Lepisosteus oculatus: one gene and its partners. The protein of the gene in region 3 purifies or fractionates together with the protein of the main gene of each other region. This does not show direct contact. Links are inferred from orthologs where the notes say so. Each region holds a gene or a part of one and is shown on either strand. Other genes may lie near its edges.

The links.
Region 1: the proteins of cops5 (region 3) and fbxo22 purify together in Homo sapiens (affinity purification with mass spectrometry; 3 studies listed by BioGRID and IntAct, with this or other methods). This does not show direct contact. The link is inferred for Lepisosteus oculatus from reciprocal best matches to the Homo sapiens genes COPS5 and FBXO22.
Region 2: the proteins of cops5 (region 3) and ddb2 purify together in Homo sapiens (affinity purification with mass spectrometry; 10 studies listed by BioGRID and IntAct, counting the BioPlex papers as one, with this or other methods). This does not show direct contact. The link is inferred for Lepisosteus oculatus from reciprocal best matches to the Homo sapiens genes COPS5 and DDB2.
Region 4: the proteins of cops5 (region 3) and asb6 purify together in Homo sapiens (affinity purification with mass spectrometry; 3 studies listed by BioGRID and IntAct, with this or other methods). This does not show direct contact. The link is inferred for Lepisosteus oculatus from reciprocal best matches to the Homo sapiens genes COPS5 and ASB6.

Annotation. Positions count from the first base shown.
Region 1 is NC_090700.1:57,540,007-57,548,014, reverse strand, and holds the start of fbxo22 (F-box only protein 22), read left to right. Parts: upstream 1-4,997; 5' UTR 4,998-5,077; coding exon 5,078-5,208; intron 5,209-6,110; coding exon 6,111-6,243; intron 6,244-6,479; coding exon 6,480-6,567; intron 6,568-8,008. Other genes in the region: lactb (serine beta-lactamase-like protein LACTB, mitochondrial), read left to right, coding at 14-368, 888-1,053, 2,397-2,919. UniProt on the Homo sapiens protein: Substrate-recognition component of the SCF (SKP1-CUL1-F-box protein)-type E3 ubiquitin ligase complex that is implicated in the control of various cellular processes such as cell cycle control, transcriptional regulation, DNA damage repair, and apoptosis.
Region 2 is NC_090716.1:4,973,912-4,981,449, forward strand, and holds the start of ddb2 (DNA damage-binding protein 2), read right to left. Parts: upstream 3,002-7,538; 5' UTR 2,408-3,001; coding exon 2,191-2,407; intron 1,548-2,190; coding exon 1,420-1,547; intron 1,068-1,419; coding exon 876-1,067; intron 728-875; coding exon of another isoform or gene 582-727; intron 1-581.
Region 3 is NC_090701.1:51,534,471-51,542,350, reverse strand, and holds the start of cops5 (COP9 signalosome complex subunit 5), read left to right. Parts: upstream 1-4,867; 5' UTR 4,868-5,098; coding exon 5,099-5,235; intron 5,236-6,452; coding exon 6,453-6,687; intron 6,688-7,880. UniProt on the Homo sapiens protein: Probable protease subunit of the COP9 signalosome complex (CSN), a complex involved in various cellular and developmental processes.
Region 4 is NC_090719.1:2,800,584-2,807,723, forward strand, and holds the start of asb6 (ankyrin repeat and SOCS box protein 6), read right to left. Parts: upstream 3,019-7,140; 5' UTR 2,922-3,018; intron 1-2,921. Other genes in the region: ndor1 (NADPH-dependent diflavin oxidoreductase 1), read right to left, coding at 3,793-3,937, 4,625-4,719, 5,630-5,748, 5,858-6,374, 6,992-7,099. UniProt on the Homo sapiens protein: Probable substrate-recognition component of a SCF-like ECS (Elongin-Cullin-SOCS-box protein) E3 ubiquitin-protein ligase complex which mediates the ubiquitination and subsequent proteasomal degradation of target proteins.

The DNA of each region.
Region 1 (8,008 bases), on a different chromosome or scaffold from region 3:
TTTACATTTCGAGGTTGCGATAACAACACGGATGCTACTGTCGCACCTGAGTGGGATCCGTCACTACGAGAAGGACGCAAAGAAAGTGAAGGAGGAAAAAGAGAAGGCGAACCGAGCATTAAAACAGCAGAGGGCGGCTGCAGCAGAAGATAAGGCCTTGGGGAGTCAGGAAGTTCATCCCAAAGACAGGAAGAACGGTGGCAGAGAGCCATCCAGCAGGGGCAACGACAGCACCAAGAGCACCAAGGACGCCAAGCAGGCCGCCAAAAAGGAGTTTGAGCAGGAAGAGTACTACCTGAAGGAGAAGTTTGACAGTGTCATCCAGGCCCTGGACCTGTTTAAAAATGACCCCCTGATTTTCAAGCCAGGTGACAGATGACGACTGTTCTATAAAATTGGGAAGGGTTGCTGGGTGAGACAGATAAACCATATCAAGTATCTTTAGGAAATGTGGCCGTTTTCACTATAAAATTCTCTTCCTTCTGATTCACACATGCTAATTCTGCCCAAGAAATGACATGTGTCTATGTGGTTATCTAGATATGTTTTTTTTTTCTTTTTTGGAACTGCTTATTGGTCTCTCTATCTTCTAAGAGAGGCACAGGGAGAAAGGCAGGTTATTTAAGTGTCTCAAAAAAGACCATGTATGGAATATTTCATTTAGGATATCCTTTCAAGAAAAGCTTTTTTTTTAGAGAACAGCGCTCCTTGAGTCCAAAGGCTTCAAGTGGCAATTGTGCATATGCATTTTTCTTCAGCATTTCCTAAAATTACATTTTGCAACTTTAAGGGTCCTCATTTTCCTTCGCACAGTTTTCTGCAGCTGCAGTTATCAAAAATGGTAGTTACCGTGTGGGGCTGAAGCAGCGCGCTGTCTGTGTCTGCAGGCAGCTCTTTCCTGTACTCCACACACGCCTTCACTCTGCTCAGCGCGGTGGTGGAGAGGGCAGCAGGACGGCCCTTCCTGGATCACATGATGAAGATGTTCCGGGAGCTGGGCATGCTGAACACCGTGCCGGAGGAGAACGACCGCATTATATACAACCGATCGAGGTAACGGAGAGACCTGCAAAGTCAAATTTCAAAGCCTGCTGTTTAAAAAAAAAAAGTCTAAATTCTTGTGGTTTATTTTGCATGGTAAGGTTTGCTTTTTGTTGAAAATATTGCACTAATGCTGAGCACTAAGCATTCAGTGCCACACATGGTATTACATCTTTCAATTACAGCTTCAATTTCTCATTCCATTCATTTCTCACTCTAAGGTTTCCGATCACACCTGGTTTGATTTCACTACTTTGGCTTCTTATCCATAAGTTCATTTCTTTTAAAAATTAAAACTCCCAAAACCCGAACCACTGTCTATGACCAAAGGATTGTCTTCATTGAGATTCTGTCACGTTAGCGTTGATCATTTCAGTTTCCAGTCACTGGTATCTAGATGACTGAACTCTTTTAGCTGTTCTGCATCTAAACTCTAAAAGCTGTGACCCCAGGGAAACACATATGGTTAATTTGCAACTTATTTGAGATCATTTATATTTTTGTTTTTTAATATTTGCAGTCTCTTTGGGCTGACTCAGATGATCTGTTTTTGTTTATTACTTCACACTGTGTAGTGAATTGGGATGCCATCTGCATATGATTTGCATGGCACAAACTAAAATGTTGGACGTCAACAAACCCTAAAGATCTGCAATGCAAATAAAATTGCAACAGTGCTTTTTATAGTTTCACATTAAGGGAATATGTGCCTGTAAATTTTGGCAGCTGTTTACTATGCCATAATGTGGGAAAATGTCATGTTAATTGATTTCTGGGAAAACTGGCCCTGGTGTCAGTGTGTGCCCTGCGATGGACTGGCATCCTATCCAGGGTGGATCCTGTCTAGTGCCTGTTGCTCACCAGGATAGGCTCGGGCTCCCCTGCGACCATGGATTGGAAAAAGCAGTTCGAAAATCGATGGATACAAGAGTGGTGGTTAGCATAACAGCTGCAGGGTACTACAAGTTGATCCAATTCTGGTTCTCTGTGTCGGGTCCATGTACTGTCTGTTTTTCTGTTGACTTTTGCCAGGGTGCTCTGGTTTCCTCCCATCATCCAGAGACATGCAAGTTATGTTTACGTCTTATGAGTTTGTCCCCCTGAGAAAAGCAGAGGGGTTGTACTCGTTGTTAGTGACTCGGGAGCAGAGCAGCTCTGGTATGTCACTCTCCCCTGTGACTGGTCCTGTTTTTGGGACGGCTCTAAGCAAGCAGGAGAGAAAGCGTTGAAAGGCTGATTAAGGAAACCCATGTGGATGAGTATTAGATCTCATTAACTTCTCATTAAATGAGAACATTACTTGTCTTTAAGTGGGAATCTAACACCATCTGTGTTTTTTTTTCCCCTCTTTGCAGGTTTTATCATTTCAACAAAAAAGGCCGCATTGTGAACTGCCCTTATGTGGACAACTCCTACAAATGGGCAGGGGGAGGGTTCCTGTCCACTGTTGGTGACTTGCTGGTGTTTGGCAACGCCATGCTTTACAGCTACCAAATGGCGCATGTTAAGGATGGCAGAGGCCTCCTGCCGGGCTACCTCAAGCCCGAAACGGCCAAAGCCATGTGGACCCCTGTGGATGGAACTGAAGGATCCTGGGATAAGGATGGGCAGTATGCAATGGGCTGGCTGGTGGTGGAGGAGCAGCAGCAGTTTGGACAGTGCAGGAAAAGGCGGCACTATGTTTCACACACAGGGGGAGCTGTAGGGGCCAGTAGTGTGTTGTTAGTCCTGCCCTTCAACCTGGCCCAGAGCGAGGGACAGACATTGGCTCCTCCACAGGGCATCGTGGTGACTATTATCAGTAACATGCAGTCTGCCGGTCTCAACAGCACTGCCCTGAAGATCGCTCTGCAGTTCGAGAAAGCCAGGAATGCTTGAGAGAGCACAGGAGGCTGTCTTTGTGCAGCTGGTGCACCAATCATTTTGAAGTAAAAATGCTCGTATTTGAGGTCTTTTCTGTATTCGCAAGATTGGTATCTTTTGCAGTATTAAAGGAAGAAGAGGATTCAATTTTTAATGTCATTTTAAATACATCTAAAAACTGCTTTAACAGTGGAAAACACGTGGCTAAAAAAAAACATTTTATTGTTGAAAAGGCATTTTTTAAAACTTCAGCATACCTTTATGTTTAATCTGTCCGAGTCTGATCCATTAAAAAAGTTTTTTGTCCACTGACTGTTCATGTTTTACACATGCTGGGATCACAGAAGAGTCTGAATCGATGTACAGTACAGAAGAATTAGGATAGCGCCACGGTTACTGCTGCCAGCTCACAGCTCCAGGGCGGTGGATTCAATTCTAGATTGGGGTCCCTTTTTTGTGGGGTTTGCATTCTCCCTTTGTTCTCGTGGGTACTTGCTCGGTGCTCCAGTTTCCTCTCGCCTGCCAAAGACATGCTGGATAGGTCAATGGCATCTCTACATTGAACCCCCTGTGCTTGTGTGGATGCCCTTCAGCTGTCACCCTATAAAGAGTGTGTGTGTTTCTGGGACAGGCTCAGGGTGGATGTGACCCTCTCCAGGAATGCGTGGCTTTCTCTCAGTGAATAGGTGATCATTCCCATGTACAAAAACAGAGTAATGTCAGAATCTGCCTTTCCTACCTTGAATACTGACTCCCTCATTGAAAAATGTAAGCTTCTCACGACAGTTCTGTAGTAACTCCTGACATACACTAAGTTCCTAAGGAATAGAAACTATGGCCATGAAGTGTAGGACGATATTGTAGTTCCGCAAGTGCCTCTCCATGGTTATCTGCATGTGTTTTGAGTTGTGCACTGATTATAGACTTAGCCCAAAAATATTGCATTTAACTGAGCCCCAGAAATGTTAGTTTGCTGAGAGAAACATTTGACGCAGTTTCCTTGTCAGGAATGTGACCGTAGTATGAAATAATGATGAAATACCATGTTTTATGTGTAAAACTTTGACAGCTGGGGCATTCGTTTAGGAATTAAATTGACATACAATTGAAATGTATTAAAATTATTTTTAAGAAAAAGCCACATTTTTCTGGCACTCAACTTTACATTTCTAGTGTATGTTATGAGTGCCTGAGACTTAACAGATTTTCACATATTTGTCTTTTGATTGTTCTTGTACATTAATTCATCCAAGGAAATATGAATCTATGAACCATTTTACCTTCACTTATGACATCAATGTACATTTGTGTAACAAATCTACTTTGACAGCACTGCACAGAACAGAGAAAGTTGATCTAATCTTTAAAGATAACTTTTTGAATGAAATATATTTTAATTATTTTATTAGCACAACCCCAGCTCCCCATACATACTTACCAAGGCAATAATGCTGTCAGTGCACCTGCAGAGGTAAGGGAAATGCTGACTACGGTACTGTGGGTATTGCATGAGATTTAAGCTATCATTTGGTCTACATGAGAGACCTGTGGACTATAACCTCCTGTGAGGTGATCATGTGAGATTAAGATAATGAACTCCAATATAAATTACCTACATAAAGTTTGTAAATTTCAATGAAGGTATATTCGCTTTTGAATACTGATAATACCGTTGAGAAGGTTTTAACAGGGAGTAGGACTTCAGCAATATTTGTTTTGTACTCTAAAGTGATGACCACGGTTGTACACAGTAGTAAAATTACATCTCATTAGTGCACTGTACATTTATACGTGGTGGTCCTTGGTTTAAATGTAAAAATCTTTAATTTGAATTTGAATACGCAATTTCATTTTCGATCCAACGCTGTTTAGAACAAGTAAAATATTTAACATAATTATTTTTAATTTCCTTTGCAGCTTCTACAGTGTTTCCCGGTTTAATAATTTGAGAAATTGACCTGTCTACCACCTACAGTATATCTGGATCTAGATCCGTTAAAACTGCACTCCTGTTATCTTTGGGCACAGCTGTGGAGGAGATAAAATAATGTACCACTAGGCGGCAGTAAAGAAATAAAACGGAATAAAAATGGAATTGTTCACTTCCGATTGATGGTGAGTTCAGGGGTCAACATTGTTCCCTGGGGTTGTTTTAGACACTCGGAAGTGGAAGATGGATGCAAGTGGTGAATTTTCTATTTCAGCTCCAGAAAGTAAAGCTGGATATATACTTAGTAATGTGGCCGAGGTGGTGGAGAGGATTTTGACATTTGTACCGACCAAGTCACTTCTCCGTACCGCTTGGTAAGTTCAGATTCTCGTTTGCAGGACTTATTAACAGTCCCTGTAGACTTCCACTCAATGTTTTCTGCAGAACACGGAGCCTTGAGACAGCACATCGGCGATCTTGAGTTTTATTCATGAACCCGGCTATTTTTTTTAATCGAAAGATGTATGCATAAAGGAGATCAGAGAAAAGCTGCGTCTTGTGCTCTCTAAAGATGTAATGACTTAATTGTATTCAGAATCTCTTGTCTTGTTCATATCCTGTACTCGATCACGCTTGGGTTTTTGACTGCAGAGCCCTTTATATATGTAGTATGTTTGAGAGTTTCTTTGTATTTGTTTTTTTCGACATTTAAACGCAAAATACCAAGACGTCTTGCTTGTGAAAATGGGCATGTGATATATGTGATCTGGCACCGCAGGAAGTCTGCGGTTTCACTTACTTGCTGAAACATTGTAATCTGGTATTTTTGTATCTGCTTGGTACGCATTGATTAGCAGTACAGCGCATTGTCTTTACAAGCAAGCAAAAGGTTTGAAAAGACGTGATGTCTCATGCCTTTTAAGGAAAATCTGGTATTATAGATAAAAATTCCTGATGTACTCCAGCAATTGCATAATTCACCTTGAAAGTGAGCTGTTTTTACTCCCTTTCCTTGGTAACTGTAATCCTGAGGACAGTTGTCTCCTGTGATAGCTGTTTAACAGTAGAAAGCCGACCTATTTAGTGAGCATGATATTTTCACTACATCTTCCACCTTTGCTGCTTGAAAAGCACAAACAGGATTTCTCTTTAAATCCTTCAAAATCAAAAATGCTCTGGTAAACCAAATGCCTTTTGTTGTTGTTGCTGTGTTATAGAAGGACTTCTTTTGATATTTATTGTTTTGCCTTTGTGCTGCTGTCGGCTGTCCCGGTAGCGTCTGCAGACTCTGGAGGGACTGTGCCCGCAGGGTGCTGAGGACACAGCAGAAGATGACCTGGGTGTCCGGTACTGGCTCCTCCAGCTCGGATGGACATGTCTTGTTCAGGACTCTGGCAGAACAAGTAGAGGTAAGGGGACACTCCTCTGTGAGTGATCTCCCTGGCTAGCTCTGTTTTCGCAGTCACCTCCGTCCTGCACTCTTTTTTATGAACTATTTCATAAACTATTTCCCATATTAGATCACATTAACGTATAATGTCGAAGCAGGTGTTTGCAAGCAGTGTAGATTGGAAAGCAATTGCTTTGAGCTTTAAAGTCCTTTATCTGGGTTTCAGTAAAGGAATATAAATGTGCTGTTTTGCAGAATGTGTACTTGCTCCCCCGGACAGTCCTCCTGATGGCAGACAGCGACACCTTGAACAGACCTGATGGCACCTACAAGCAGAAGAAAGGTAACAGACTGGCTCATGAGGAGTCCTGCTCTGCAAGTATAATTTAAAAGTCTTGGTTTCCCGAAGGTGCTTTGATGTGAGGTTTATAATTTTTAATTAATAATTGCTTACACATCTATAGCACTTTTTTGGACACTCCACTTAAAGCGCTGTACAGGTAATGGGGATCCCCTCCACCCTCACCAGTGTGCAGCTCCACCTGGATGATGTGACAGCAGCCATAGTGCACCAGTACTCTCCCCACACACCAGCTCTCAGTGGGGAGGAGAGCAGAGTGATGAAGCCACTTCATAGATGGGGATTATTAGGAGGCCATGATTGGTGAGGGCCAATGGGAAGTTTTTTAATGACCACAGAGAGTCGGGACCTCGGTTTTACTTCTCATCTGAAGGACGGCGCCTTTTTACAGTATAGTGTCCCTGTCACTAACCTGGGGCATTAGGACCCACACAGACCTCAGGGTGAGCACACCCTACACTCCCCATTAACACCTCTTCCAGCAGCAACCTTGGTTTTTCCCAGGAGGTCTCCTATCCAGGTACTGCCCAGGCTCACACCTGCTGAGCTTCAGTGGGCTGCCAGTCGTGAGTTGAAGGATGACATGGCTGCTGGCTGTTTGGGGTTGTCATACTATTTGAAGTGTGCTTGGCTAATGAAGTCATAGAACAAAATCTAAAATGATTTTGATGCCATTGGACTCAAAGTACGTCTCAGCCAGCAGAAGTGCTCAGTTGGAGCGCAGGTTGAGCACTGTGTGCCAGGATGGCATCATGTTTAAACCTGGTGACATGACCCGTGGAGGCATGGAGGCACACAACTGCCAGAGCAGGGCAGTGCCTGGATCCTCACGATTCCCAGTGCCTCCGCAGCTCCTGTGACCAGCTCGAGCCTGGCAGGCCTGCAGTGAGTCAATAAAAGAGCCGGCCCTCCCGGTCCTCCTGCACCAGGCCAGAAGCATGCGCCCATCAGAGGAGTGTGTCTCCAGACAGGAGGTGCTCCCCATGTGGACACAGGGTTTATTGCAAGAGAACTGCGCCTTAAAACAGGTGCTGATTCAAAAATAGGTAGGCACACAACAACAACAAAAAAAGTCAATGCAAAATTGAATTAAAAAAAAAGGACATTTTAAATACCCTTGAGCGAAATGTAAATGTAAAACAGACAATGGAGAAGTCATGGTAGATTTCTTCTGCTGTTTCACCTTAGCTGTAGTGTTGTGTGGACACAGACGTAATGTTGCATGAATAGCAGAACTCAGATTCATTAGAATATCCCACTGTTTCTGCAGGTTTAATTTTGTGGGCATACATAAATTACTCCACTGGCCGAAACTCTTTGAAAATGTGTATAATACGAAACCTAGGAATTATGTCTAATATTTCTGGTAATTAATATTGAGCGAGTCTCATTTAACATAATTTTATGTTATCAGATGATGTCT
Region 2 (7,538 bases), on a different chromosome or scaffold from region 3:
AAAACATGGATTTTCAAGTTCAGTAGCGCTTCTAAAAACTGGTTCATCATGGCATTACTTAGGTTCAATGTAAATGCCACACAGGAAAACAAAAGACCAGCTCAGCTGGACTGTGTATTTCAGTTCACTGCTTTGGAAAGAATAAGGAAATTGGTCAGAAATCTGAATATAGCTAAAGATCTGCAGTGCTCACAATTGACATGAATACTAAGAATATTTCTGCTTTACCATGGCCAGACAGGACTTGCTGATGCTTGATTTATTTTTTATTTCTGCTTCAGCTATGAAAAAATGACCATAGAATTCCATAAAATAGCAAAGATTTACCAAAACAGCTGGAGAAGCTGGAGTATTACGTAGCTGCTTCCCAGAGTGTTAGTGTATTTTCAGAAGCATCTACCTCCATTGAAAAACAAAATCTTACAGCAGACTTAAAGGATCTGAGGCAATAATTAAATATATAGTAAGTCATGACACACCATTAAACTATACTAAGATTCACTGTACAAGTGTCTAGTTTTGCCCTTCGGCATTTTTAAAAGTCAACAATAAGTTAAAAAACTGCATCAAAACTTTCTTACTCCCACTGATGAGTGCTGGCAAAAACTTTAATAGTGTTGCCTGTAAAATCCTGCAGAGAGGTCGTGCCTCCGACAGACGATGTAAACAGCTGACTGGGATTGAAAGGGTTAAACTTCATGTCTGTTATGGAGCCCCCAGCTCCCATCTAAACAAATATAAAAAAAAACACAAAAGGAAAATATCTCAGGACACTGATCACGGTGTGCTAACTACATTCTTGGAATGGAATTCACACCCAGACAAAACCACAGCATACTGTATATACCTGCCAGGCCTGGAGAGAAACCACTCACCCCTTGGATGAACTTGGTATTCTTTGACATTTCGTAGTCCAACAACACTATGTCCCCCCCCTTGGAGCCTACTGCCAGGGTGCTGGGGCACGTTGGGTGCCACTCCAGGCACGTCACCCTGCGATCGAATGGGCTGGCTGCATGGAAGAGACTGTAGGAGTTCAGAAAGCGCAGGAATGGCTGTTGTAGGCACTGGAGAGACAGGAGAGCCACATCGGTCTTCCAGACAAGAAAAGAGGCCAGATTTACAGAGGGATGGCACAGGCAGTGCAGTTATTTCTCACAAGCACGCTTCAAATGTGTGTTCTTAAGATACAACTCCGATGTCCGGAGACAGAAACAGCACACTTTTTTTTTTCTTTTTCGCTCCGTATGTGACTGACTATATGTCAAATGTTTGTGTAACAGGGAGCGGTCATGGCTTGATAAAATCACTAAGAGAGTTACCATTATTCTGCTATACCTTACAAAATCATTTTATCTTTCTGACAAAAAGGGGAAAAAAAACGTTCTTTAGACGGCAGCTCTAAAAAGAAATTCAAACCTGGCGCATCTGTGACTGGATGTTCTGACCCAGTGAGTGTTTATACACATAATGGACAATACTGTTCTGCCTGGCCGCCTTCTGAAACCCCACACTCTCTCTGTTATTCTGGAGTTCAGATCTTGCTTCTGAAATAAGAACAAGACCAGAATGATTACAAAAACCATCATTTTCGCCAAACCTACCACTAAACATAACCATTATCGGGGTTAAACCTGGGGAAACCTGTCTTTTTTAAATGTCCCACTGAAATTTAGAAGTTAAAAAAAAACAATCGAAAAGCAAAATCAAAGCAATACTCTCATACCACTACAAGTTTGAGTTATTCGAACTTTGTAAAGAATTAGCCAGGATTTTACTTTTTTCAGTACATGACATTAGTCAAATCCCACTGGCTGTTTATGGTAATTCTTACATTTCTAAAACCAAAGTCATTTAAAGTGTAAATAAATCGAAGAGACCGCATGTACAGGAATATCCTCTGGCTAATTCCATAAAGTCAGAGGAAACGACAGTAAGGAGCAGTGGAAAAGGTCGCTTTGTAACAACCATGCACATCGTTTTTTAAGTAACATTCCCTTGTCTTCTGGTACTGATTGCTTGAGCACAAGCACCAGCAGATGGAGCAGCAACTCAGAGGGGAACCGCTGGCGCCGCAGTCTCATTCCGCCCACTACTTGTTGGGGAGCTGGGCAGGCATGCCTTATTGCTGAACCGTCCCTGCTTGGGGAAATTCAACTTGAGACAAAGCCATGAGCTCCAGTCACACACCTGCTTTCCCCGGAACGCCTTCCTTTTTCTTCTTCAGCTTTCTTGAGAGGGGTTCTTCCGAAGGCTCTGCTCGTTTGCTCCGAGAGGTGGATGGCCTTTCCTTTTGGCGTTTGGGCACCGTGCTGTCCAGGAGAACTTTCTTTTTGGCCATCGCTTTCCTTGTGCTGTTCACCTGGTGTGTCGGATAAAAAGGAACAGGAAAACTATTTCTGTGCATGAAGGGTTAAATAAGTTCACACTCAAGTCAGTGCTCTGTGTAATGTATTCCTACAAAATACTACTAGACCTCGTTTAACTAAACGCTTAGCATTTTCCTGGTATCTGACTGAAGAACATAACTTTGCAATAACGTGAGAATACGGGAGATATCCAGCTTTAACATAAGGGACTAGTTGCTCTTACAAAAAGTGCAGGAATGCAGAAGAAATGTATGCATTTAGCCTCTCAAAGCATTCTTAGACAACAATAACAATTCAAAAGCACTGCAAGCTTTTCGATGTTTAAAAAAAACACATGCACTTCTATTTTTAACAAGCAATTTGGGTTCTACTTCCCCTCCTATAGTTTCGTAACACCATCATTAAATAAAATTACGAACAGCAAAATTCCCATCTTAAAACAAAGCCCGTGCAGTCATACGTCACCTAATCCTTTGTAAAAGACGCTTGAATGAGGTTCTTTATGGTGATTTTTTAGAGGGTGATCGATACTAAGCGCTCATTTGCCTAACACATGGACGCAGACACGATCGATTTTGTTTTTAATGACGTCACGACCGGGTTGTTTTGTAACATTTTCTCTTTGTTAATCCAGCAGGTGGCAGTACTAATACATCCACTTTTCCGTCCCCCTTTTTTTCTTTCAGCGGAAGACAACTTTCCGACAATTGTCTACTAATCATTATGCACATTTTGGCCAATTTCGTAAAGGTTTTAAGACAAATCAAGGTTATTGTGAGTACTACGTTTAAAAATATATCACATATCACCAGTTTTCAGGTGTGTTAGGGAAGATCAGATTGATCGGAATTATCATCGATATTCAGGGACATTAGACAATCAAAGCGTAGACTGAAGACTCAGGTAGCTGAAGTTCACACATGATGGTGCTGATATATATGATCAAGGTTGTATGCAATATTTGTGGAGCAGATTGATTCAAATTAGAACCACGTAGACTTAAAGACAACCGGGCCGTTAAGATCATTCCAAAAGACAATACAGAAATATGAATCCTGGGTGCCTGGAAACTGAAACTCTAGGAAAGTCCAGTCCACTGTTTTTTGTAGGTAGCCTTAAAGCCTTAAAAGTTTGAACTCACACTGGTAATATTGTAGAATAAATCCAAAAATGATTGAGGGCTATTTGTGTAAGGGTGTTTGATAAACACCTGAAAGAGACAGATCACCAAATCAATTATTTTGTCATAAATCATTCCACTCCTCATCTATAAATAGTCCAGTCTGATAGCTTCTATCTTGACCTTGGAAGTAGATGCCATTTTTGGTACTTTCATCCTTATGCATTTTCTATGTTTTTTTTTAATTAAGACAATAAGCAGTCAGAAGCAGTTCTATTACAGGGTTCAATTGTGTCACTGAGGGCTCAGCTGGAACAAAAACAAACAGGTGTGTTGGTCATCAGCACCAGGATAGGGAACCACTGATTTATGAGCACACCGAAGAGGACTGAAAGTAAGGTATTATCTATGTCAGCAGGAAAATGCACTTAAAACTCATTCAGGAACAGAAAGATGAGCTATTCCCCTTCAGCTACCTTGAAAAGTATGCTTCTCTCTCTGAAACAGAAGAATGAGACTCTCAGATTAATTACCTACTAACTACCAAACCAGCTGGGTCAAAGGGTCTCCTGCAGTGTGTAACATTTCTTTAATTCCCATCTTTGCTGACCATTCACAGTTTGACTTTTAGGCGTTGTAAATTACTGACACTCTGCAGTGCTGTTTTTCTTAATGATGTCATTTATTTTAGAAAATTAAGTTCTAAAGTACAGAGACTGCTTAATATTGAACCTGAGCGGAAAATCCTCCGTGGCATTAAATTGAGTACGTCTCCGGGATGTTCCCGCGGAACACCTTTTCCAGCTGGACTATATTCAGAAAATAAGAAGCTCTTGTGATGCAATATACAAAACGATGCCTAATCATTCAAAATTCTGAATCGATAAAACAGTGGCATTATCCTCTTCACAATTAGCATCGGCACCTATAGGGTTAAATCCAGTAATTGGATTAATGCGTAGAGCGGAACCACAGGATCCAATTACACCCCAGAAGACCCTTCCAGAAGAGAAGAGAAGACAAGTTGTCTTTTAACCTGCCTGAGGAAAAATACCCAAACAATTATATGTTCGATATTTTCTTCATTTCTGCTCGGTTTTTGAACTTCTCGTTGTCATTGTGCCTCGAAATTGGCCTTGCCGGTCGAGTAATTCCCAAAGAAAATTCCTCTTCTTTTCTGCTCTATGGCGGCGAAGTGTTTGTCTGCAGTCCTGCTGTAACCGCGCATCAACTACGGTAATAGGAGCTTGTAACTGAGGGGGGGAAAAACCCGCAGGTCTGGTTAAAGTCGGAGGGGTGTTACCGTTTACTCTCATAAATGCACTGAGGACTTTTTAAACGCGAAGTGCGGATTTTCCGTTTATCTGTGTTTTGCAACAAAATAGGCATTCTCTGGAAATAAACTGAAGTCGCAACAGGTAAGAATCAGAGAGAAATGTCACAATGAGATGTTGCTCAAATGCTCCATGTGAAGTGTAAAACGTTTTTTTTTTATTATTATTTGAGCCGGATCTCCCACCTTCGTATATATATATATAAAATAAAGTACGGCGTTGCACGCCTGTGGAAGGTTTAAAAACCATTTACATTCCAATAGCGTCAATAGATGTCTGTGGAGTACAGTTTCATAGGGCTCAATTATAGTCCAGATGCAATAGGACCGTTGATTTGTGAAGTCGTCACTCATTACTTCTTTTCAGCTTGTCATCAAGTGACGAATATTTGCACGAAACTACTGAATGCGAAGTGTTCTCTAACGGTCCCATAGATGTGTTTTATTTTTTTCTTTTGCTCGCAGTCAGTATGGAAATAGTGGATTTGTTTGCGTGGGGTGCTGAACTGTAGTCTAGTGACCTCGCTTGGGAGCACAGCGTGCACCGCGCTTTCCTCCGGTGTATCCCTTTTCATTGAAATCCAACCTGGGCTCCGGAGAGGAAGACGAGACCGGTGGGTTCCGCGTAAACTGTTGAAAACCGGACCACTCTGCCCTCGCTGCAAAGATAAAAGGGTTTGGTTGGTACTGGTGTCGTTTCTAGGTATTTTAAACAACGTTGTTCGTGTCAGTATTAGTTTCTTTCTCCGCCGTCTTTGCGAGTGCTTTTTGTTTGCCTTTAAGTATCAGAATCTGCCCGTTGTTAAAGTCGATTTAAAGGAATATTTGTAAATTTAACGGTGTTGTTTTTGTTACTTCGCAGTTAATTTATAAGCGAACGAAATGCAACAAATGTTTGACGGCGTATACAATGTAATTGCTTAAACGATTCCCCTGCGTAGGGTTGGTAGTAGTAGCCCTTTCCAGTTGAGTCGCATTTTAAGTACAATGCAAGGCTTTCCATTGAAATATACTCTTTCGTTTTTTCTCAGTGGGACAGCTTTCTCTTAATATGACACAATCTTATGTTGTACCCATCGAAACAGGTGACCTCCTTCTGAGCTTGTAGGTTAATTCAGTTGTGAAATATATAGGGGTCCCCGAGTCAGTGCTGTTGTTTCCCTTGGTGAATGGATCAGGTTATTAAAGAAGGATACAATTATTTTAGTCTGACGGTTTACCGTGTGTGTTTTTACGCATGGAACCTGTATTAAAAACTAGAAGAAGAACAGACATTTTATTTGGAATGCATGATTTACAAAAGTGTCGGATGTAAGATGTGCCTTCAATACGTGTAATTGTATTGTACAACCTACACGGATGCTGAGGTTAAAAACAAGAACTTGAGTACTAATACACCACTTTTGCGTCGCAAGTAAACTGCACTCAGCCGTGAATGCAGCCCCCTGCGGGTTTTTGGAGCTGCGCCCTCGACCACTTTGGGTGGAATAACGTTACCGGCCTCACAGTCCCCAGTTAGCTCTTAGGGGCTTGGTGTCCGAGTAGACTTCATTTCCTCCCCAGTTAATAGGAACTGATTTATAACAAAACGTTAAGGCTGAGAGAAAGACCTGAAAAAATCAGGAATGGAAACAGCTGGTTCCATTAGTAACTGAGTTTGCGTTTAGAAACAAACGCAGAAGTGCGACACATCTGTGAATTCTTTAGCATTAACCCTAAAAATAATCACTTTGCAGCCCACAATGACTAGTCCAGAGGGCTTAAGGTTAATCTATAGTTGAGCCGCAAAATGCATTAGAACTACATGCATTTCTCAAATGCTGATAAACGGCAAAAAATGTATTTGTGCTTTTTTTAAAAATTAGCTTAAGATTACTTTATGATACCATTTATTCTTCCACCTTACTGAACAATACCTTTTCACTCAACAGGAGGCAGCCAAAAACCTTCTGTCCCCTATTCAGATAATCTGTTTTTTATTTAGAAGTTTATCTTGCTTTAAGTAAACAAAATTTTAAATGCTTCCTTATTTAGAATGATCAGGAGAGGGTTAAAGTGTTTGGTTTTGCATTCCTTAGCACAAGAGGTACTCCATGTTTACCAAGTGCATAATTCTAGGAAAATGCTAGTAAAAAAATTACCAGTAACTGAGTTCTTTTTTATAGTAATGGCATGAGTTACAAAGTGTTGTGTACTACAAACAGAAATTAATCCCTGTTATGCTTGTGAGAATTGGAGGACGAATTGGTGTCTTGAGTAGAGGGGTGTGGCTTTAAACGCTGAAAAACAGTGTAGTTAAGCCATTTTCTTCCGGGTCATGCTATTCTGAAAATGAGATCTCTACTGGAAATGTAGCAGTATCTAAAGGGCACACTATCAAATTTCAGTTGGAAGTTTATAAATGATTTTCTTTGTTTCACTGAGCATGAAAGCATGGCACATTCTATATAATAGTTTTTGTATGGACAAACTACAAACTGATTTTACTGCAAGGTTTTTTGTTAACTGTAGAATGGAAATGGGACAGCTGTTACCACCTAGGGTGAAAGATTCTTGTTTTGTGTACTTTTATTTACCTTCTGGACATGGAATACAGGTTTTCTTAATAATACGAGCTTGAAAAATGAATGTGTCTCTGTGTTAATTTGTACTTTTACTTATTAACTATCATTATGCCTGCAAGTGCTAGTTGGGGTGTGGCAGTTTTAAATTATCG
Region 3 (7,880 bases):
TTCCTACATGAGAAACACAAAATATCAACACAGCTATCCACTTAGTCAAGGTACTAAGCTGTACTCTGCATGTTCCAAGGGGCAGGAGCGTAAAGCAGCAGGTGGGGTTCTGGACATGTAACTGGAAGGCCGCAGGTTCACATCTTGGGTGACGCACTGCTGCTGTGCCCTTAAGAAAAATACCACAATCCGATTGTTTCAGTAAAATGCCCTGGTACAAATGAGTATTGCCTTGTCAAATAAATTATTGATTTTATTAGATATTCTCTTTTGCCACATAACAGCTGTCTTGTGAATGCACATGCCATTGTCTGTACAGCACAGTATCTTTTGCAGTGTTCACCTATCTTTAATATGTAGAACACAATTAAGACATCTTCTCTCTCAATGCAAAGTTATTTTAAACAAAAACATTACTTTCCCTTGACTGGAAATATTGATGTGAGATTTTATAAAGAATTATTGAAATACAGCCCAAAAAGATGTTTTGCCTTTCCGGAATAAAATTAGTGATTACTGAACAAAGATCCTTATTCACATCTTGGCTAAAATGAAAAGGTGCTCGATATGCACTGTTGGAGACACATCACTGATGCCACATACAGTAATACAAAGAGTAAAGAAATGATACCCTAGAACGCCAGGGTGCCTGACACAAAATGCAGCAACATATTCTACTTTGGATATTTTAAATGTATTCAGGAAACATGTAAACTTTTGTGCCCTTGCTCTCCACAAACAAAATATGTAGATCTTCTACAACCCTAGAATTCGAATTGATGACTAACCTGCTCACCATGACCACCAAAGTAAACAATGAAATGCCAGCGTGGCCTTTAGATGTACTGTATACTGCACTGTACTGGGCTTGGCACTCATTCGTGTTCATGCGTACAATGCACTGTTACATATTTTAACATGCAGCAACACAGACACATGCACTTTGTTAAAGCAGCACTGGACAAAATTATCTTAGACACTACTAAGATTCTCAGCTTCTGCTTCTGGAAGATGGGACTTACTGCAGAACAAAGCACTTTTCTCTGATTACACTTTGGCTCTATGACTACTATAAGTATTAATCTAATTAAAGAAAACAGATGAGTCACTCAATATGCAATGTAGATGTATCTAGAAATCAGGCTTTTTAAAGACATGGGAGAAAACACAGTATTGTAAGAACATTTCTATTAAGTTACCTTTTTTTTAAAGAAAAAAGTACTGCTTTTCCACGTATTCACTTCCAAGTAAGCTGAACACTGGGAGAGTTATAACCCAGATAAGCGTCTTCTTCAAAGGCATTCAAAACTGCTTTACCAGCAAAGTCAAAATGCCAGAAGCCAATTTAATCAGCCTGGATCGTTAAGTTCACAGGTTAGTTCTTTATTCCTTTTGCACTTCCTCACATAATTCCCCCCTTCCAAAAGTACTCCTGCTCCTCCTGATATCTGTGAAGGTATCTATAAGGAATCATGTGCAATGTCAAAAACACAAATGGAGGGGGAAAGAAATCACTGAAGAGCACTACTCACACTTACTGTCAAAGCGCTCAGCAGTCTTTACTCTCAAGGTTAAAAGACCTGAACTCGGAAGACGTTTTGGCTAAATGAACCCTTCCCCAAAATACAGAACATAAAGGTCATTATACATACGGTACAGACAGCTGGGGGTAGAACCTGTTGTTTCAAGATGTAATCGACTTTTGGGAAAACAACCTCCAAAGAAAGCAATAAAAAACGTAACTGGCTGTTTTTCTAGGTAGTAGAAGTGCCAGTTACATTAACTGCCCCTTCTGATAAGAATGCTTGACCTGCCTTAATACATTTGGGACATCAGTTACTTAACACTTTTTTGGAATGAAAACAGCCCACCTTCACCATTACGCACAACACGTAAACCTTAAATGCGACACTGGGAATCTCAAAGTCACCTTTATAAAACCATTCCTTCCAACAGACCACATAGCAAAGCAGTAAGACCCAGCACAGCTCCTGTAGAACAAAAACACAAATCATGCAGCTCTGCTAACAAGCGTGAACAGATGTGGATATACCGGGACACCCCTGTCGGTTTCTAAGTTTGTGTGAAATTGGCCTGAATACTTGCCGTACTATTTTGTGAAACGGCGTAAATATTTAAATTTTAAGTCGCTCAATTTGTTTTAATACTAACGTAAATTAAGTCTTCAGAAAAAAAAGCTTAAAAAAGCAGGGGCATCACTGTCTTCAGATTATTTCCAATGAAATAAAATTTAAAAAATAACGTAGAAATCAGTGCCACTGCCTCTTTAATACCCGTTGTTAGGCAACCACTGTACACAACGTCTTAGGCCACTTCGCGGCGCCGAGCACAACCGCTAATATTAACTGCAGCTTATCGACAAATAGTTGACAAACATCCCCGTCAGGAAACTTATCATTTAAAACGTAGACTTCTCACTTTAGCAATAAATATATGCGGTTCCGGGGAGGATCATTCGAGATAAGTAGGGCGCTCCAGACACAACAACCCCCTTCAGCAAAGTATTAAACACGACAGTTCAACGTTACTGACTCGAACACAAACTGCATGTTTTTGAAAAGGTCCCGTACCGTACGACAAGTTCAACGTATCCTCAGCGGAACAGCGCGCATCCTCCCCTGGGAGAAAAAAAACACAACACACGAAGGTGTCCACGTCCTGAGTGGTTTTACGGCCGCCGGGTTTCAACGAATAACACAGCGGATCCGCCGCCCAGCAGCAACAAGCCCGCAGGGCAACTTGTCAGCAGCAGCAGCAGGGAACTGCCGCCCGGTGCTGCAGGGAAGAAGAGCGAGGGGCGGGAGAACCTCAAACACCAGAGCACAGGGAATTACACAGCACCCCCTAGTGGACTGGAGGGACACTTATACACTGCTGTCCCATAAGGGATCCTGGTGACCCTGTTCTTTGATCCTGGTGATCTTTGATCCCCTGTGTTTGGGGTTATTTGTGGATCAAATTCACGTCTGATTTCTTTCAAGTCTAGATCTCTTTTTTGTTTTTCAAACGGATTCTTCCAGCCTTTATCAATAAAAAATGACATCTGCTTTATTAAAGCAATTCTCCGTCACTGTATGTTTAAAGCAGGTCCAGAGCCACTGACTTCTATTTACGTTGTATGTTATTTACGTGGGTACGTCGGTATGTCAGTTGTACTGTATGTTGTTGTCGCTGCTGCTGCTGTTCTGTGTTGGTGTTTCCTTAATGTCCTGGTATCGGAGCAGACGTGCAAATAAGCATTTCATTGCACTTGTGGATATGACAAATAAACTGACAAATAAACTGAACTGAACTGTTCCAAAGAGCGGGGGCTCATACCATTTAAATTTCACTCTGCTCTCCGAGAGGAGGCCGTTGGTCCATTCTAGCTTGCTTGCTGTGGATGACGTGGATCCTCTCAATCCTCTGGGATAGAATTAATAATAATTGCTTGCACTTCTGTAGCACGTTTCTGCACACTCCACTCAAAGCACTTTACAGGTAATGGGGACTCCCCTCCACCACCACCAGTGTGCAGCCCCACCTGGATGATGGGATGGCAGCCACAGTGCACCGGTACACTCCCCAGACACCAGCTCTCAGTGGGGAGGAGAGCAGAGTAATGAAGCCAGTTTAGAGGCGGGGATCGTTAGGAGGCCATGATTGATAAAGGCCAATGGGAAATTTGGCCAGGACACTGGGGAAACACCCCTGCTCTTTTCGTGAAAAACGCTGGGATTTTGAATGAACACAAAGAATCAGGACCTCTGTTTACATCTCATCCGAAGGACAGCGCCTTTTTTACAGTATAGTGTCCCCGTCACTATACTGGGGCTTTAGGACCCACATAGACTGCAGGGTGAGCGACCCCTGCTGGCCCCACTAACACCTCTTTGGCGCCCTGGCCAAAATTTCCCATTGGCTCTTATCAATCATGGCCTCCTAATAATCCCCAAATATGAATTGGCTTCATCACTCTGTTCTCCTCCCCACTGAGAGCTTGTGTGTGGTGAGCGTGGTGGTGGAGGGGAGTCCCCATTACCTGTAAAGCGCTTTGAGTGGAGTATCCAAAAAACGCTATATAAGTGTAAGCAATTATTAATTATAATTATTATTATTACCTCTTCCAGAAGCAACCTTAGTTTTTCCCAGGAGTCTCCCATCCAGGTACTGACCAGGCTTGTTTTAACACACATTATTGTATTGGAAACGTTAGCCCAGTTTGTCTGTTTTATCTTATCATCTTTGCAATCTCACTCTCAAGCAATGTAAAAAAAAAACTCATCTCCTGAAACACAGTTGTACCGTCTTCTTTGTTGATGATGTTCGTTTTTGTTGGATTGTTATGTTAGACTCTGCCACCAGGGAGTAATGAACGAAACTAATATGAATTTAAAATATATTCATGTATTACATCCCTCCATCCACTTGCTAACTGCTTCTTCCAATTCAGGATCGCAGATGATCCAGATCCTGTGTCAGCAAGCTACAGGGACAAGACAGAGTATACCTCGGGCCAGTCCATCACAGGGAAGACACAGACAGAAACACCCCATCAGTTGGCCTGACAGCATGTTTCTGGACTGGGAGGAAATCCTTATTTATTCCTTTTCTGGAAACTAAATGTGCAGCTGCAGACAGCCGCCAGCAGGGGGCTCTATCACCTCAAGGGCTCGCTCGCGTCCCACCGAAGCCGTCTGGACCGAACCATTGAAGTCACGGGTTTCTTTTTTTGTTGTTGTAATATTCTTTAGAATGCGTTGCACATAGAGATTTTTCGATAACTTAAAGACTGAGAAAATTCTTAGTTTTGTATTTGTATTTTTTACACATAGTGATTGTGGTTGTCGGCATCCATTTTCGGGTTCTTGTCATTTTCAGACCACCCCAGGGTGGGCTCGGTGGTAGTTGTCCGTGTCATGGCTGTGTTGTTAGGTAGCGCCGGCGATCGTTAGCGAAGTTTAGCTACAACATCGCAAGAAAAATTACATTTCCGTTGTTCTCAAGGGTGTTTTGTAGGGGGGTTATCTTCTTCCGAAGGGCGAGGCAGGTTTAATTGATCTAACGCACAGAGATAGAGAGCGTTTCAGCTGGGAAGATGGCCGGGGGCGGTATGGCGCAGAAGACATGGGAGCTCTCCAACAGTATGCAGGAAGTTCAGAGCATTGATGAAATTTATAAATACGACAAGAAACAACAGCAAGAGATCCTAGCTGCGAAACCGTGGACAAAAGAGTGAGTTTCTTTTTAAAAAATGCATACAAACCTCTGTTCGCGATGCGTTTTGTAACGTAACTGTTAGGTGGCCCGTTTCAGTGCTTTCACTGTTGTTTTCTTTTGATTCATTTTCTTACCGCTTTTTCTTAGTAAAAAAAAAAAGGAGACAAAAGATTATTTAATGCGTGTTTATTAAATGATTTGCTAGCCAAAACTCGTACACTTGCAGAAATTCGCAAATTTCATAACGCAGTATGGTTTGGTCAAAGGTCTCTCCGCTTGCGGTTTTCTGGATGAGGATCTCTTGATTATTTCTTGATCGTGCTTTTAAAAAAGCTGACAGTTTAAAATAAAAAGAAAAGTTTCATAATGTTTCCTTTTCAATTTCCCTGGAACATAATACGATGGGTTGCATTCGTTAGGCTCTGATTATCCTCACAATCGATTTTGTAGAGAGAGGTCGGGCTTCTCCAGTGCCGAGTACCAGAGCACTGCCGGCAGTGCCCAGTGATACGTATTGAGCTGAATGAATTGAACTGGCTCGGCAGCCATATCACCCTGCAGCTGGCTACCCAGTAAAGCTCAGCAGGGTTGAGTTTGGTCAGTACCTGGATAGGAGACGACCTGGGAAGTTATGGTTGCTGCTGGAAGTGGTGTTAGTGGGACCAGCGATCTGTGTGGGGTCCTGATGCCACGGTATACTGGAGAAACACTATACTGTAGTGGGCGCCATCTTTCGGATGTGACGTTAAACCGAGGTCTTGACTCTCAGTGGTCATTAAAAATCCCAGGGCGTTTCTCAAAAAGAGTAGGTGTCCTGGTCAAATTTCCCATTGGCCTTTACCAATCATGACCTAAGAATAATCTATGAATTGGCTTCATCTCTCTGTTCTCCTCCCCACTGAGAGCTGGTGTGTGGGGAGAGTACTGGTGCACTATGGCTGCCGTCGCATCATCCAGGTGGGGCTGCACACTGGTGGTGGTGGAGGGGAGTCCCCATTACTGTAAAGCGCTTTGAGTGGAGTGTCCAGAAAAGCACTATATAAGTGTAAGAAATTATTATTATTGTCTTTGTCCCTCCCAGCCTAAAAGCAGCACCTCATCTGGTGTTGACTTCTAGAGATTGATGCCTCAGAGACCAGGGGCAGTGTCTGATTATTAGCACTGAAATAATCCGACGGGGGGGACAGGTGGCTCACCGCAGTTCTCTCCGTTTGGCCGTGCGTGTTTTGCAGCCACCACTACTTCAAGTACTGCAAGATCTCGGCCCTGGCCCTGCTGAAGATGGTCATGCACGCCAGGTCCGGCGGCAACCTGGAGGTGATGGGCCTGATGCTGGGCAAGGTGGACGGGGAGACCATGATGATCATGGACAGCTTCGCCCTGCCTGTGGAGGGCACGGAGACCCGGGTGAACGCCCAGGCTGCCGCCTACGAGTACATGGCGGCGTACATCGAGAACGCCAAGCAGGTCAGCGGGGCGCTCCGGCCTTCTCCGACGTCGGAGACACGGGCGCTCGGCCGCGTTTCTGGCTTGTTTTTTTTTCCGGTGGCGTGGTTTAAGAAAATCTCGCACCTCAGTCTCCCTCTCGGCTTGCCGAGGTCCTGCGGTGGTCCGTGCTCCGGCATTCCACGCCAGGGTCCTCCCCGCCTGAGAGAGGAGGCCGTTCTGCCCATCCAGCCTGGTTTGGTAGTTCATTGATCCACGGATCTCATCGTTTGATGAAAGACGCTTCAATAACATGCAGGATTCAACAGACTATGGAACAGCTTCTACCTCCAGGCAATAAGACTGCTAAATAGCCAACCTGCAGCTCCTTTAGCATATCACCCGTAATGGCTACATGGACATACAGTTCTCATTGTATTCATCATACTGCACTACTTGGACATAATACATTGCATACACCATGGACACATAGCAGCTCTATTCATATTGAGTTTTCTCTGAGTTTATTTTATTCAATTTCTATTGTGAGCTCGTAGAAAAGACATTTCATTGCCAGCAACTACTGCTGCACGCTGTGTTGTTGTGCATTTGATAAATAAACTTTGATTGGATTTTGATTTGAGGGTTTAGCTGTTCCATATTCCCACAACCCCCTGCACACGGAGGTGCCTCCTGTTTTTGTTTTCAACTTTACATCGATTTAATTTCCGCCCTCGTCCTCTGGTTCGTGTCTCACTGTCCAAGAATAGTAAGGTTCAGGAGGGTTGCAGTACTATGGAACACGCTCATCTCATTTGAGACGTTTCTTATGTTCAGATAAAACTTGACACTTCAAAGCAAAGCGTATTGAATTAATTGAAGCTGTTCTGGCAGCCCACGAGGCCCAACACACTGTGAAGACAGTTTATATAGGTGTTTCCTTTATTTTAGCTCTTATGTGTATTGTGATCCAGTCTTGTACAATAATTGTGGTTTGTGCCTTCTTTCAGAATATAAGTTTCAGGGTTTTTTTTTCGTTGATGCGGACTAAAAAGACATAAAAATGCAATGGACAGTGTGTCCAGGTGGGGGAACACTTTGATTTGTTTTTTTTTTTGTTGTTGTTGTCGTGGACAGCTGACCTTTATGAGTCCAAGGGAAACTACAGTCATTCACAATGACATGTAAAACATCAACACCTTTTAATATTTTTAAGGTGTTTCTTTTAAGGCCTT
Region 4 (7,140 bases), on a different chromosome or scaffold from region 3:
AGTCTGCAGCACCTGGTCTCACACTACATCACACAGAGATCAAGTTCCTGCTCTATGTAGATGACCTGGTCCTGGTGTCGCCCGAAGAACAGGGGCTACAGCAGAGCCTGGCACTGCTGGAGGACTGTCAGACCTGCGCGCTGCCAGTCCATCTGGACCCAGAACAGCAGAGCCTGGCACTGCTGGAGCAGGACTGTCAGATCTGCACACTGCCAGCCCATCTGTACCCAGTTCAGCAGAGCCTGGCACTGCTGGAGAAGGACTGTCAGACCTGGGCACTGCCAGCCCATCTGGACCCAGACCAGTAGAGCCTGGCACTGCTGGAGCAGCACTGTCAGACCATCTGGAACCAGACCAGCAGAGCCTGGCACTGCTGGAGCAGGACTGTCAGACCTGGGTGCTGCCAGCCCATCTGGATCCAAAACAACAGAGCCTGGCACTGCTGGAGCAGGACTGTCAGACCTGGGCACTGCCAACCCATCTGGACCCAGACCAGCAGAGCCTGGCACTGCTGGAGCAGGACTGTCAGACGTGGGTGCTGCCAGCCCATCTGGACCCAGAACAGCAGAGCCTGGCACTGCTGGAGCAGGACTGTCAGACCTGGGCACTGCCAGCCCATCTGGACCCAGAACAGCAGAGCCTGGCACTGCTGGAGCAGGACTGTCAGACCTGGGCGCTGCCAGCCCATCTGAACCCAGTTCAGCAGAGCCTGGCACTGCTGGAGCAGGACTGTCAGACCTGGGCACTGCCAGCCCATCTGGACCCAGAACAGCAGAGCCTGGCACTGCTGGAGCAGGACTGTCAGACCTGGGCACTGCCAGCCCATCTGGACCTAGAACAGCAGAGCCTGGCACTGCTGGAGCAGGACTGTCAGACCTGGGCGCTGCCGGTCAATCTGGACAAGAGCAGAGTCATGGTTTTCCAGAAGAAAGCCAGATCTCAGGGAAACAGGTGCCAGTTCACACTGAACAGCATGCACACAGTGAAGCACACATCCAGCTACACATACTGTACCGGCCTGACTATCAGCTCATCTGGGAATTTTGATCCGTCAGTGAAAGCACTGAAGGAGAAGGCACTCGGGGCTTTCTACGCAATAAAAAGGAAGCTTTTGAACATCAACCAACAAGAATCTGGTTCCAAATATTTGGTAGTGTAATCCATCCCATTGCCCTGTACAGCAGTGAAGTGTGTGGCCCAATCTCAGACCAGGATTACACTCAATGGCAAAAACACTCCATAGAAACTCTGCACATGCGACCCAAACTCCTACCACAACAAGACTCTGCTGAGCCCAAAACAGAGCCCCCAGAGCCAGCTGGTCCTGAGGCTCACTGACCTGAGCCACACCGACAGCAGCCAACCTCAGGACAGCACTGCTAGAGCACCACAGCTCAGACTCAAGCACATCACAGCACAGATCAAACAGCAATATCTAACACACTGGGTCACACACACACAAACACAACATAAACTGGAATTCTACAGAACCCTAAACGGACAATACACACTAGCCGAATATTTGACCAAGATAAGAAACAGCAAAAAGAAACAGACCCTGACGAAGTACAGGCTCAGTGACCACAGCCTGGCCATAGAAACTGGACACAGGCAGACCTGGCTGTCCAGAGAGGACAGGCTCAGTGACCACAGCCTGGCCATAGAAACTGGATACAGGCTGACCTGGCTGTCCAGAGAGGACAGGCTCAGTGACCACAGCCTGGCCATAGAAACTGGACACAGGCTGACCTGGCTGTCCAGAGAGGACAGGCTGTGCTCCCACTGCCAGCGGGGAGAAATAGAGACAGAGGTGCACTTCCTACTGCACTGCGAGACAAATATTCTGGGATTAGACATTCTTCCCCAAATGTACAAATCTAACGCCAGAATTTCCACACCTACCAGAATCACAACAACTCCCAATCCTGCTGGGAGAAGGGGGAGGGAACTCAGTTGAACTGGCAGCCCAGTATGTGATCGCCTGTCCCAGCCTGGGGAACAGTGAGCCTGTTTCTCAATAATAATAATACAGTGTGTGATCTCCTGTCCCAGCCTGAGGTACAGACAGTGAGCCTGTCTCTCAATAATAATAATACAGTGTGTGACCTCCTGTCCAAGCCTGAGGAACAGACAGTGAGCCTGTCTCTCAATAATAATAATACAGTGTGTGACCTCCTGTCCAAGCCTGAGGAACAGACAGTGAGCCTGTCTCTCAATAATAATAATACAGTGTGTGATCTCCTGTCCCAGCCTGAGGAACAGACAGTGAGCCTGTCTCTCAATAATAATAATACAGTGTGTGACCTCCTGTCCCAGCCTGGGGAACAGTGAGCCTGTCTCTCAATAATAATAAAAATAATAATAATAATAATAATAATAATAATAATAATAATACAGTGTAACTCCGGATTGCGTGAATGAAGCCATACCTTCCGGACAATGTGCTAAAACAGTAACAGGCCCGGGTCTACCTGTGCGTAATGGTCTCTTTTTAAAAACACTGAAATTAACTACTGTTGATAACCCCACGCCGTCATTCCTCACGAATCTCTCGGACCCGCACGGACAACAGCGGAGAACGAGCACCGGCCGCAAACACGCCGAATTCAAACCGCCGCCTGTCTTCGCTTTTATAAACCAGACACACACACAAACAGTCTAATTAAACGCATCATTGCAGCCGAGCGTTAACTCTTAAATATGGCAACTGAAACCTGTTTTAGAGGTGAAGGGGTTTCAAAAATACACAGGCGAGGATTACCAGAGGGGACCGCAGGTACTGAAGCGAGCCCGCTAGCTGCACATTCATATTTTATTAACTTATTATTCCAGCAAGTATTCACCAGCTTGGGTATTCAACAGTTATACTCATATTATGGATATTTACTACGAATTTATTTACAAAACGTGCACAAACTCACCAACACAGGACCCGAAAACGCCACTAGCGGACTGGCGGAGGCATGCGAACACTGCAGCTGTCCGTGTTTGCCGACGGACCAATCAGAGGACGTCTCAGTTAATTGAATCTAAAACTCGGCTGCCTATTGGATAGAGTCCCGGAAGTATTTTTGTGCCGCTATCAAGTTTGTCCGCCCTGCAGACTCGCCTATTATAAAATTACGTGTGATTTGAAACGTAGATATACCTGTCTCGGAAGAGGCGTGTGCGCGATTTCTGCGCTATTATCTTACAAAATTCTCTCTTTAGATGTTTAACTCGATTGCAGGTGTCACGATTACCTGCTACAAAATGAGCCTGTTGCAAAACGGCTTTCGTTAACCAATAAACACCAGCGATTGCTCGCACGGTATGCATCAAACAACGTGAACCAGATGCCAGTGAATTGCACAGTTAAACAGTTTATTTAAATTCAGTGTACAGACATCAATCCAGAACACCAGTAAAGCACATTGAGACAACATATGATTGGTCTGTGCTCCCCAGAGCCTTAAAAGCAATTCATAAGTAGACAAATAAAAAAAATCATTTAATAAAAGTTACATTAATATGATCACACGTATGCTGTATGTGCACTGTAATCGCACTCAGTTACAGGGATCCTTGCAGTCGTGCGTTTAGACCTCACACGTGTTTCCTTCGCGGCCGGCGGCTGTTCTGTGGCACAGCAGGCGACGGCTGCTGGAATAGGGGGTGCTTCTTCAATGCAGCCCCCAGTCTCTGAGCAGGGGAACCCCTTCAGACGGAAGCACCTCCAGCACTGCGCCACCCGGCGGGCCGCCCTGCTGCTGCTCACCGCCCACGACGCGTGACCCTCCGCCCGGCACCGGGTCACGACCAGGTCTCGGTCTGAAAGCGGCCCGACCTCTCCAGCTGACACAGCAGCGCCTCGGCGTCCGGGTCCGAGAGACCCCCCTCCGCCTGGAACACGGCTTTCAGGGCATCGGCTACAGCCGCCGGCATCTGTTTGGCATTGCTGAGGCCGGAGGAGACCGGGGACACACAGAGGAGAGACCGCCAGAGCTGGCGATGAGCGATTTAGGAGCTGTACAGGACGGCGCTAGATCTCTGCTGAGGTATTAAAGGCATGCCATCGTTGCACTGAGCTCTTTAATAATAATAAGAAGAAGAAATTTATAATTTATATAGGGCACCTTTCCAAACCCCAAGGATGCTATATGTAAGGATCAGCATTTTTAAAAATACAATAAAAAAATAAAACCAGACCTTGCAGGACACACTGTAAGACAAGCAGACAAAGCCCCCCCGCAAAAAAGCGGAGTTTTAGGTTCAGATTTAAGAAAACAGTCCAAGAACCTGCCTCTCGAAGAGACGCAGGGAGGGCGCCCCAACACCGGGGGTATTTACTGCTGGGCACGGCGTGCAAACAACACAGCGTATGGAAGGGAGGGTGAGAGAGAGCTGGGAAACACCAGATTATTCAGAGCCTTGCAGGTCAGTGTTCTGAGTGGCATTTTATTTCTGTTCATGTTCTTTTTTGTGTGTTTGTAACGCACCCCAAATCAGATCTTAGGGAATGTAATATATTTTCCTGATGTCATTTGAAATGGCTGTAAATTGTATTCTGAACAATGCGGTCAAGCATAGTGAAAGTATACATGGCCGTCTCAGAATATTTCAGGATTGTTCGTGGCGGACTCACCCGGCGATGTAGACGTGGGCGGCCCGGTTGGCGATGAGGTCCCAGAGGAGCCCGGCCTGCTGGCGCACGAGATGCTGCACGTACACCTTCTCCTCCTGCAGGCACAGCCAGAGGTGAGCCCTGCTGCCCCGCCCCTCACTGCACTGAGGGCAGGCCCCTCCAGAGCGGCGTCACACCAGACTACACTGCAAGGCCATGCTCTCTACGGCACTAGGCTGCGTTATAGTGAACCTGACACTAACGCACTTTGCTGTTCTCTGCTTTTCAGCCTGTAATACACTGCACTGTTACCTTGTTTTATTGCACTGTAATATACCGCACTATACTCAAGTACTGCTTACAGTATTGTTCTGCATTGTCCTCTGCACTCTGCCATTCTAGGACTTCATCATGAAAACATAAGAACAGTTACTAACTAGAGAAAGAGCTTCAGTATATCCTGCTCATTGGTTGTCAGTAGCTTACTGGACGGCACCACTCAGTACTGTACAGACTGATCATGAGAGGCAGGTACAGTCTACCGCAAGACTGAAGCAACAAAGCACTCTGGAGAGTGTGAGTGTGGGGGGAAGGAGGAAGACATTGGTAACACTGATCTAGTAGCCTGGTGTGGTCAGGTCAGCACTGGAATTTGAGATCACTGAGAAGCAGGTGGTGTTGGTGGACCAGCAGGTGGTGCTCTTCTCTCTGGGCCAGAATTTCTAAACCGGCGCCCCAGTATGGTCACTGCGGACACAGCGCTGTAGGAGGTGGTGCCACCCCTCTGGGTAAGAAGTTACACCAGGTCCTGGACAATCAGTCACTGGAGAGTCAGAATAGTAGTGGTGTACACCAATGTCCTAACTCAATTCTACTCGGGGCTTAAACAACCTGCCTACTCTAAAATCCCCTCTGAACTCAACCACTGGAGACGTTTCTCTCTTCTCCCCCTGACCTGCTGCACAGGTGGGGCTGCTCTGGTAGACGATCTGCTCTGTATGGGAAAGAGCCGTGTAAACGGCCTACCTGGTCCCGAGAGAAAGCCGTGAAGAGCGTCAGACGCCCGGCCTTCTGCATCTCCTCCCACTCGGAGCGGCAGTAGAAATCCCGGGACTCCGAGCGACAGCCAAAAAACAGAACGTTCCCTGAGGGGGGGGAAGAAAAATGAGGAGATACAGTGGGAATTCCGGAACGAATCCAGAACGGAAAGCTACAGGGAGAAGGGAGGAGAGCCGCAGGGGAGGCAGGACCGACCTGTCCTGTCCAGGGCCGTCCTCTCCTGCAGGGCGGCTCGGAAGGGGGCCACCCCGGTGCCGGGCCCTACCATTATCACAGGGGTGTCGGCGTCACTGGGGAACCTCAGGCCTCCTTTCTTCACCCACAGGGGGACGCGCACCTCCCCTGCAAGATGGGACATTCCGCAGTCAGATAAGAGCGACACGAGGCCACAGGAAGGGAATGCTGGGAAATCCCAGAATCCCACAGACAGACAATCTGCGGCTGGACTGCGTTCTCCGTCAGAAATGCAACACCAGCCCGGGTTTTCTTCTAAAACTGTCAGGATTCTAGCACATCCCCAGTCCACGACACGCTGCTCGGCGGTCACGCGACAGATCTGCACCGCGTCGCGTCGCAAGGCTTCACGCTTCACTTTACTCTGTGTGGGGTCCAGGTAGGCCAGCCAGGACGAACAGAGGCCCCTGCGTGGCTTGTGGAGCTTGGTCCTGTACTGCACCACCGCCACCAGCACCTGGATCCGGTCAGGGTGAGCCTGCGGGAGAACAGGAGAGCCAGGAGTGCCGGGAAGATCTGCCCCGCCTCCCGTGTGCCCTGTCTTGACCTTGATCCCTTGAGAGGTTTCAATAGCATCAACTCATCAACATCCACCAACCCTCTATCCTCTTTGGCCAGGTTTGATATGGCTCTGCATTCAACCGGCGCTTCACCGACCTCAATGTCGCGTCATTACTTAACTGACATTTCATTAAATTTGAGCCTGCGGCCGACCACCACTTGAGCAGCGGAGCAGTGGCTCTGTGGCTCAGGATCTGCCCTTGTTGCTGGGAGGTTGCCGGTTCAAATCCCGCAGCCGGCAGAGGAATCCTACTCTTTTGGGCCCCTGAGCAAGGTCCTTCACCCCAACTGCTCCAGGGGCGCTGTACGATGGCTGACCCTGCGCTCTGACCCCCAGCTTCTCTCCCTGTCTGTGTGTCTCATGGAGAGCAAGCTGGGGTCTGCGAAAAGACAAATTCCTAATGCAAAAACTTCTGTAGGGCTGATAAAGTGATCTCTCTCTCATCTCAAATGAGCACAGAAATGACTTTATAAAAAGCAGGGAGGTATTTTTTGGAACTGCAGGCGAATGGGATGGGCGGCGCAGAGCCTTACCAGCAGGGAGGAGGCGATGGAGAAGGAGCGGGGCTTGATTTCGGGGAAAAGGTCCAGCAGGTAGTCCACGGTGAGAACTGCTGTGGTGTGGGGGAAATCGGCCAAGACCTGCAGGGGGGGGGGGGGGACGAGAGAACAGCGCCCTCTTG